Cricetulus griseus: one gene and its partner. The protein of the gene in region 1 binds, or shares a complex with, the protein of each later gene. Links are inferred from orthologs where the notes say so. Each region holds a gene or a part of one and is shown on either strand. Other genes may lie near its edges.

Region 1 (4,084 bases):
CAGCAGGTGTGGTAATCAAGTCTAAGCTCCCTAAGTTCTCAGAGCTGCTGCTACAGGTCATCAAGCCCTTCAGTTTTGTACTTCTCCTGGGTGGCCTATTCCTGGCCTACCACATGGGGGTCTTCATCTTAGTGGGAGTCAGGTTACCCATCGTACTGGTGGGCTTCACAGTGCCCCTGGTTGGCCTTTTGGTGGGCTACAGCCTAGCCATGTGCCTGAAGCTGCCAGTGGCCCAGCGGCGGACAGTCAGCATTGAGGTAGGGGTACAAAACAGCTTGCTAGCTTTAGCTATGCTGCAGCTGTCTCTGCGTCGCCTTCAAGCAGACTATGCCTCTCAGGCCCCCTTCATTGTGGCACTGAGTGGTACCTCCGAGATGCTGGCTTTGGTTATTGGCCAGTTCATCTACAGCAACTTGTTTCCTGTTCCATGAGGACCCTGGATCAAGTTTTATAACCCCAGCCCCCATACTCCATCCACTGTCCCCACAGTTCTGTACCAAAGGCCTTTTGTTCTCATGCACTATGCACTCAGACAAATCCAGGCTTTTTTTTTCCAGCTTTCAGTGCCAAAGAGGCCATGCTGAGTTAGAAATATATTTCAATAAAAGACAAAAGCAAGCTTGGGTCCCTTCCAGTCTTTGTCCCTTGGAGTGTATGGATGGGGATAGGAAGAGTGTGTCTGGGTTGATATGGACCAGGATGGTGAACAGGCTTGGTGACCGTGCACAGAGCCCACTCTCTCCTTCCTCTGTGCTTTGCACATGGTAGACAAGTGTTGTACCTTTGAGCTATATCTCCAGATCTGCAAAGGCTTTTCTCTATCAGAACAGGGCAGGACTCTGTTCTATAATGAGTGAAGAGATAGAGGCCTAGGTCCACTACTTTGGAGCCTCGGCCAGGATATTTTTGCAACCAGACTAGAAAGGAAGAAGTAGAAAGCCATTGGGCTATGGCAGGTAGGACTGGACCATTTCTGTATCTGAGAGACACTACTACATGTTTGCCCTGATGTGGTCCACCAGCAGGGTAGGAATTAACAGGTCAGGCCTTGCATGAGGCTGACATTCTGGTCCTTCCTTTCAAGCCACAGCTCCCCGGTGAAGCAAGCCTGACCCTACAGATTCCTCGCTCCTATCCCAGTGGGCGGAATGGCCCCACTTCCCTGCACCAAAGCCGCTGGAGGCTTGTGGGCCCAGGGCGGTGGACGCTACCCCAGGCTCAGGCAGGCGCAAAGGCCTGGAGGCGGGACCGGGCGGGAGCCACGCGGCGGGCTCGCCCCTTTCACGGCTTCCGGCGGCGGCGGGCGGTTCCGGCGCGCGCCCGGGGCAGCGGCGCGCGGCAGGGGACCATTGGGGTTTACATTGGTCCTAGTGGACGCGGCTGTGGGCATCATGCAGCTGACCGTGAAGGCGCTCCAGGGCCGGGAGTGCAGCCTACAGGTAAGGTTACCCTGCAGGCTGCTACACTCACACACTCCTGCCGCTGGGGCCAATGGCGGGCGGGGGAGGCCAGGAGAGCTAACCTCAGGAGGGGGCACTAGGGCTGCATCGCCCAGGGAATTCGGACTAAGCCCTTGCCTCTCCACCTCGGCCGGATCAGGTGCCGGAGGACGAGCTAGTGTCTACACTGAAGCATCTGGTCTCGGATAAGCTGAACGTCCCTGTGCGCCAGCAACGTCTGCTGTTCAAGGGCAAGGCCCTAACAGGTAACCAGGGAAAGGAGCCATCCAGGGACCCCCCACAGGAAGTAGGAAGTTGGAAGTTGGGGGACGGGATGTACAGGCCAGTGTAATGGATTAGAGCAGTGGCTGCCACTAAACCTTGGAAAAGTAGCTGAGACGCCACCACCCCATAGCCAGATGCTGCAGTGTTTCACTCTAGCTGTCCATGGCAGGATTGCTCTCTGGCCACCCCCACAACAATGAGGAAGGAACCCCACCAATCTCTCTTTGGCAGATGAGAAACGACTGTCAGATTACAACATTGGGCCCAATTCTAAACTCAACCTAGTCGTTAAACCTTTGGAGAAGGTGCTGCTGGAAGAAGGGTCTGCCCACAGACTGGTCGACTCCCCACCCCCACCCCTCTGGCAGCTGATCTCCAAAGTCCTGGCCCGTCACTTCAGTGTAGCAGATACCAGCAGGGTCCTGGAACAACTACAGAGGGTGAGCAGAATAATTCTGGACCTCCAATCTTAATGTTTCTAGCCCCAGCCCCCACCTATTACAGCATACCCCTTCCTGCTTGCACCCCCTGAACCCACCTGGTCTTCTCTTCTCAGGATTATGACAGATCTCTGAGCCGCCTAACACTGGATGACATTGAACGTTTGGCCAGCCGCTTTCTACACCCTGAAGTAACTGAGTCTATGGAAAAAGGGTTCTCCAAATAGCATTTCTGGGAGTGGGGGGAGAAATCCCAGGTCAGGCCACAGCTGCATGTTGCATTAAATGTGTTCTCATGTCGCAGTTTGGCTCATAGTGATAATAATAGCTGGTATGTACCCAGTTCTTGCTAGGTGCTAAGCACTACTCAAAGTACTTGGCCTGAATTCTCTTCTGCCTTCCACAGGACAGTTGAGGCTGCACTGTAGAAACACCTAGCAATGGCTTGGGACAGCCAGAATCCAAGTCTAGCCAGCTGTAGAAGTGCCTCTGTAGGAGAAAGAGTGTGTTGTTTTGAGGGATGGGCCTTAACATTCCCATTTAGCCCACTCAACATACACACTCAAGTGACTCCCTCAGGAAGCCACTAGTCCCTGTCACCTGTCCTCTAGTATGTCTGGCATACCCTTGGCAAATCTCCATAGGAAGCCAAGTGGTAGCCATCCAGAGTCCCTCTGCTGCTGCAGCCAGTGTGCTCTTGATGAATGACAAAGTCAGGGGCTGGAGGATCAGAAAGATACCCTAGCTCCGTTGTATGGCTTAAGTCAAGTTTCTGTGCCACTTAGGTCCCCTACCATTGAGTCTGTTAGTGGTGACCACTCCTCTGACCTGAATAAGTTTCCTTCCCTCTTTCCCGGCTCAAGGTGGGAGTCTGCTATCACCAACTGCAGTGCCATCTTGTGTTCAGTAAGCAAACTGAAGCCAAAAGTGAAGTGGTAGCCAAGCATGGGCCACAGATGGAATATCCTGGGCCTTTGTGACATAGCTCTTCTTGGGGGGACCCTATCTGCTTGGCTCCTCCTGGAAGTCGGTCTCATCCATGAGGGACAGCAGGTGACTCCACAAAGCAGTGTCACAACTAGGATTCTTCCTGGGTCTCCTCACCCAGCGTTCTCCCACAGCATGAGACGGATGCTTCCTCTGCCACCTGTGTACAGGGACTTTCAGTTTGCACACCTTCATTGCTTAAGAAGAAACTCAGGGTGCTGAGGAGGAGATAGAAATGTAAGCTGAAGACAGTGGTTCTTCTTTTCACTGAACCTATGCCTGGGTGCTAAAGGTCATGTAAGTACTAGCTCCTTTGAGGAGGACCCCCTGGGAGCAGTTGAGGCTGGAAGATAGCCACCTGCAGGACATTACTCCTGCCCCTCCACTCTTGCCAAGGAAGCAACTCTGAATGTTGTTGGGACTACACTGGCCTTTCTTGCCCAACGGCCTCCTGCATGGGCTTTGGGCCTTGTGGGACAAATCTTGACTCCCCATAATGGAATGATAAACTAAAGTGAGGCCTGAGGGGATGAGCAGCTGGTAGACCCTGCTCCTCCCTGAGACCTGGGGTACCACATCAGGGACCTGCTTGTGAGCACATATGTGGACTGGCAGCTCAGATAATAAGCTTACCAATGTCCTTGTTCACTTTGAGTCAGGGAATGTATTTGGAAAATTAAATAACACTTAAGGTGCATGTGAGACTTTTTACCAAGACGAACTCTATTAATAAACTAGTCTGCTTTTGGTTTCAAATAATTGGTTTAACAACACAGGAAACTTACTGGCTTACAAAAGTGAAAAAGCCCAGGAGTACTGGCAGTTGATGAACAATTTCACCAAACATCCAGCTTTTTTCCTGCCTCCCTCTGAATTCTCCAGCATCTGCTTCATCCTCACCACTACTTCCAAGGATCAAAGGGTGGCTGCCTG
Region 2 (4,134 bases), on another chromosome or scaffold:
ATGAGGGATAGGGTCCCAGTGTGGCTCAGACCACTATGAGGAGCACAGGTTCCAGGAGAACCCATCTGAGAACCCAGTGTATTAGCTCTGCTCGCAGGAGAAGGTTTCCCCAGCAAAGTTGGCTCTGGTCCCCAGGATGAGAACCGAGTGTAACAACTCTCCTTAGCCAGGGGAAGGTTCCCCCCAGCAAAAAATATTACAGCCCTGCTCTGCTCTGCCGAAAGAAGGTCTCACCCAAACCTCATTCAGGAGATTTATTGGGAGAGAAGAATCCAGGATAGTGGCTGTCCTCTGCCACCCTGAACAGCCAGAAGCTGAACAGGCACAGGGTTTATATAAGGCTTCACAGGGGTGGAGTTTTTCCAGGGTAGGGATTGGTCAGATTTCAATCCCTGAGTTTAGTTAGGATGGTTAGATCTCATGCTCAGGGATTGTTTAGTTTTCTGCACAGGTTTAGGGTCAGATTTGGCTCTGATTCCAGGGACAAAGTATGTTTCTTTGGCACTGGTTGCAGAGTCAGGGTACATTTCTTTGGTTCTGGTTGCAGGGCCAAAGTGTGTTTCTTTGGCTCTGCTCTGGGTGTTTCTTTGACAGGACCCTTTTCTCTACACTATCACATGTTCTTTCTTTTTTCTTTTTCTTTCTTCCTTCCCCTTACCCCCATCCAGACAGGATTTCTCTGTATTGCTTTGGAGCCTGCCCTGGAACTCGCTCTGTAGATCAGGCTGGCCTCGAATTTACAGAGATCCGCCTGCCTCTGTCTCCTTAATCCCAGGAGTGCTCGGATTAATGGCGTGCACCACCGCCACCAACGCCAGGCTCTATCTCGTGTTCTAGCCTGAACGTACTGCCCAGTCCGATGTCACTCAGGATAACTGCCGCCTGGAGGAGAGCACTCCTGGACAGGTAGGCGTAAGACAGGTCAAGCGTTCTAAAATGTGTTCACGTGGTCAGGGCAATAGCAGCCACCTAGTGGCAGCGGCCTCTGGCCCAGTTTACTTGCGCAGCCTTTGCAGGCGGTAACACCACCACCACCACCACCACCACCACCACAATGACTGGGGTGTATCCCCGCCCAAGACCTTGGTCCCACCCACTCTCGCGTGACTACTAGCACGTTCCTTCCCGGATGCGTGGTAGCTCGCGGACCCCACCCCGTCCGCTTATTCCCCGCCCATGCTCGGAGGGTCCTTTGCAGACCTGCCGGGGGCGTGGCCTCGCGCGGCTCTGGCGGATTCCGCCACACTCCGCGGCTCCGCCTTTGGTCACGTGTCATCTGTGGAGCGCCCGCCCTCGCGAGGCTCCTCGCGGCCACCGTAGAGGGCGTGCGGTGGCCGCAGGGACGGAAGCCGGGAGGTGCCGCCGACCGCGCCTGCGACAGCGTCAGCTCTGCGCGGAGCGCCGGCCCATGGCGGCGGCGGCGGCGGCGATGGCAGAGCAGGAGGGCGCCCGCAACGGCGCCCGCAACCGCGGTGGCGTCCAGCGCGTGGAGGGCAAGCTGCGTGCCAGCGTCGAGAAGGGCGACTACTACGAGGCGCACCAGATGTACCGGACCCTCTTCTTCAGGTGGGCGCGGGCGGTGGCTTGGCGCCGGGGCCCCGCCTCCGCTGCTGCTCATTGGCTGTGCTGCGGTGCCCCGCATCCTCAGTGGCTCGCGCGGCTGCCTGTCGCGGGTCGGAGCGGGGGCGGCGGGCTTGGACTACTCGGCAGGGCCTCCTCTTCCCTGCCTGCGTTACCCCTCCTCCTCTCTCGGCCTCCCCTTTCTGGGTCTCTGCTTTCCTCATCTCGTTGTCCTTTCCCTGTCCCTCTTTCCCTTTCCCTGGCGTCCTTCCCCAGCCAACTTCTCTGGCTTCCCCTTCCCTGGGCCTCTCTACTCTCTTAGGCCTCCTCACTCCTTATAGGCCTCTCTTCCCGCCATTCCTTCCTTGTAGCCCACCCTCTTCCTTTCCTGGCCTCCCTTTCTCTGGAGCCTCCCGCTGGCAGTCAGGCCCTGTTTCAGGGTAGTTTCTCCCGGTCCTCCTTTCTGTGACCAGTGACTGAAGTGGCACAACCGACTTAAGTGTGGTTAGATGCAGACACGGTGGGCTCCCGTGGCCATCTGCAGGATTGATTCCAGGTTCCTGTCTGTGTGCGTCTGCCTGCTGATAATCCCCACTTAGACCTCATTCCTGACTGCAAGATAGCAGCATTCCTGCTCCATGTCCGTCGTGTGGGTTTAGCCTCCGAGCACCTCATATCTACTCTTTGTTTTAAGCTGCTTTGTTTTAGGTCTATAGTAAAACGAGTGGAAAGTGTTTATATTGTGTCTGCATAGAGGTACATTACCAGTTGCACATTTTCAGCCACCCATCACTGTCGCTGTGCACTGTGGAATTCCTCCCACAATCACCCCCTCCAGCTTGATCCTGGCATGGTGCGTTTGTTCTATGGGCTGAGTGAAGCTGCCATGACAGTGGGTTGACACTACACAGTGGCCTCACTGCCTTGAAGCCCGGTGCAGGGCTGAAGACTCACATTAGTGCTCATAATTGTTTACATTGGAGGACAATTCCCACTTCCTCCCCACGTGCCCAGAGTGAGCCTGGCAGATAGCCAGGAGGACATAGTAGGAAAGGACATGTGATTGAGGCCACATGTGGGAGTTACCAAGCCATCAGGGACCAGCCCTGCAGTATTTCCCTCCATAACACTGCTCCAGGGCCAGCCTTTAATCCCAGTACTTGGGAGGCAGAGGCAGGCAGATCTCTGTGAGTTCGAGGCCAGCCTGGTCTTCAGAGCGAGTGCCAGGACAGGCTCCAAAGCTACACAGAGAAACCCTGTCTCGAAAAACCAAAAAAAAAAAAAAAAAAAAAGCACTGCTCTGTCCAGGGTCTTGGGCAGGTATGGGGTGAGCCCTGGCATCCTTGGTTTCAAAGACTTCCCATTTGCTTTACCTACTGGGTGGCCTGGATTAGGAGCGGGGGGGGGGGGGGGGGGGGGGTCGCTAGTAACTATCAGTTTAAGGAAGACTTTAGTCCTCACTTCTAATTGCAGGTTACCTAAAGGGCAGTCTTGTACTAAACCAGACGCTATAAATACAAACCAGTCTAGCTACATCTGTTTTCATCACAGTGTCCTGAGTACCTTTTCTTTTCTTTTTTGAAAACTCTGTAATTATACTGGGAAGTCACTTGCATTTTCCTTTAGTCAAAAGTCTGTAGCCAGGGATGGTACACATGCCTTTAATCACAGTACTCAGGAGGCAGAGTCAGGCGAATCTGGTAAGTTTTATATGTAGAAGTGTTTACCTAATGACTGATATAGTAACTGGTTTTAGTTTTTATTTTTATTTTATTTTTTTTATTATTTTTGTGCTACTGGGTAAGGAACCTAGGACATCTCACATACTAGGCAAGGGCTCTACCTTTGAGATAACACTACAGTCCTTTCTTTAACTTAGACTTTTGAGGTGATGTACCTTCAACTCACTCTGTAGCCCAGGCAGGCCTAGAATTCTTTTTTTTTTTTTTTGGTTTTTCCAGGCAGGGTTTCTCTGTGGCTTTGGAGGCTGTCCTGGAACTCCTCTGGAGACCAGGCTGGCCTCGAACTCACATAGATCTGCCTGCCTCTGCCTCTCCGAGTGCTGGGATTAAAGGCATGCACCACCAACGCCCGGCTAAGGCCTAGAATTCTTGATCTTCCTTGCTTAGCATCCTAAGTATCTGGGAAGACAGGCCTATGTCATCAGTCCAGCTGAATGGTTAGTTTTTCCTGAGTTGAGCTGTCTCACTGGACAGGACCAGCCAACTGGCCCAAGCAGTTCTTGACTGAACAAACAAAGGAGCAGACACAGCTTTGGATTACATGGTGGGTTCCTCTATGTAGCAGGGCAATCACTGTCTATATACTTCTACCACATTGGGGTATACCCTGTTGTCTTACCTTTTTTGTTGTTGTTGTTGTTTGGTTTCGGTTTTGTTTTTTCAAAACAGGCTTTCTGTGTATAGCTCTGGTTGTCCAGGAACTCCCTCTGAAGACCAGGGTTACCTCGAACTCAGAACTCAGATCCGCCTACCTCTGCTTCCCAGGTGCCGGGATTAAAAGTGTGTGCCACAGAGCTGTCGAGATGGCTCAGTGACTTAGAGCACTGGCTAC

The links. Proteins that work in one complex are often made in the same cells at the same time.
Region 2: Ubl4a (region 1) and Get4 share a complex: the UniProt entries of both Homo sapiens proteins name them as parts of the BAG6/BAT3 complex. The link is inferred for Cricetulus griseus from reciprocal best matches to the Homo sapiens genes UBL4A and GET4.

The regions. Positions count from the first base shown.
Region 1 is NC_048604.1:1,347,608-1,351,691, forward strand, and holds the start of Ubl4a (ubiquitin-like protein 4A), read left to right. Parts: upstream 1-1,277; 5' UTR 1,278-1,391; coding exon 1,392-1,439; intron 1,440-1,599; coding exon 1,600-1,705; intron 1,706-1,955; coding exon 1,956-2,164; intron 2,165-2,280; coding exon 2,281-2,355; coding exon of another isoform or gene 2,356-2,391; exon of another isoform or gene 2,392-3,027; coding exon 3,028-3,144; 3' UTR 3,145-4,084. Other genes in the region: Slc10a3 (P3 protein), read left to right, coding at 1-431. UniProt on the Homo sapiens protein: As part of a cytosolic protein quality control complex, the BAG6/BAT3 complex, maintains misfolded and hydrophobic patches-containing proteins in a soluble state and participates in their proper delivery to the endoplasmic reticulum or alternatively can promote their sorting to the proteasome where they undergo degradation.
Region 2 is NC_048597.1:75,910,257-75,914,390, forward strand, and holds the start of Get4 (Golgi to ER traffic protein 4 homolog), read left to right. Parts: upstream 1-1,332; 5' UTR 1,333-1,408; coding exon 1,409-1,566; intron 1,567-4,134. UniProt on the Homo sapiens protein: As part of a cytosolic protein quality control complex, the BAG6/BAT3 complex, maintains misfolded and hydrophobic patches-containing proteins in a soluble state and participates in their proper delivery to the endoplasmic reticulum or alternatively can promote their sorting to the proteasome where they undergo degradation.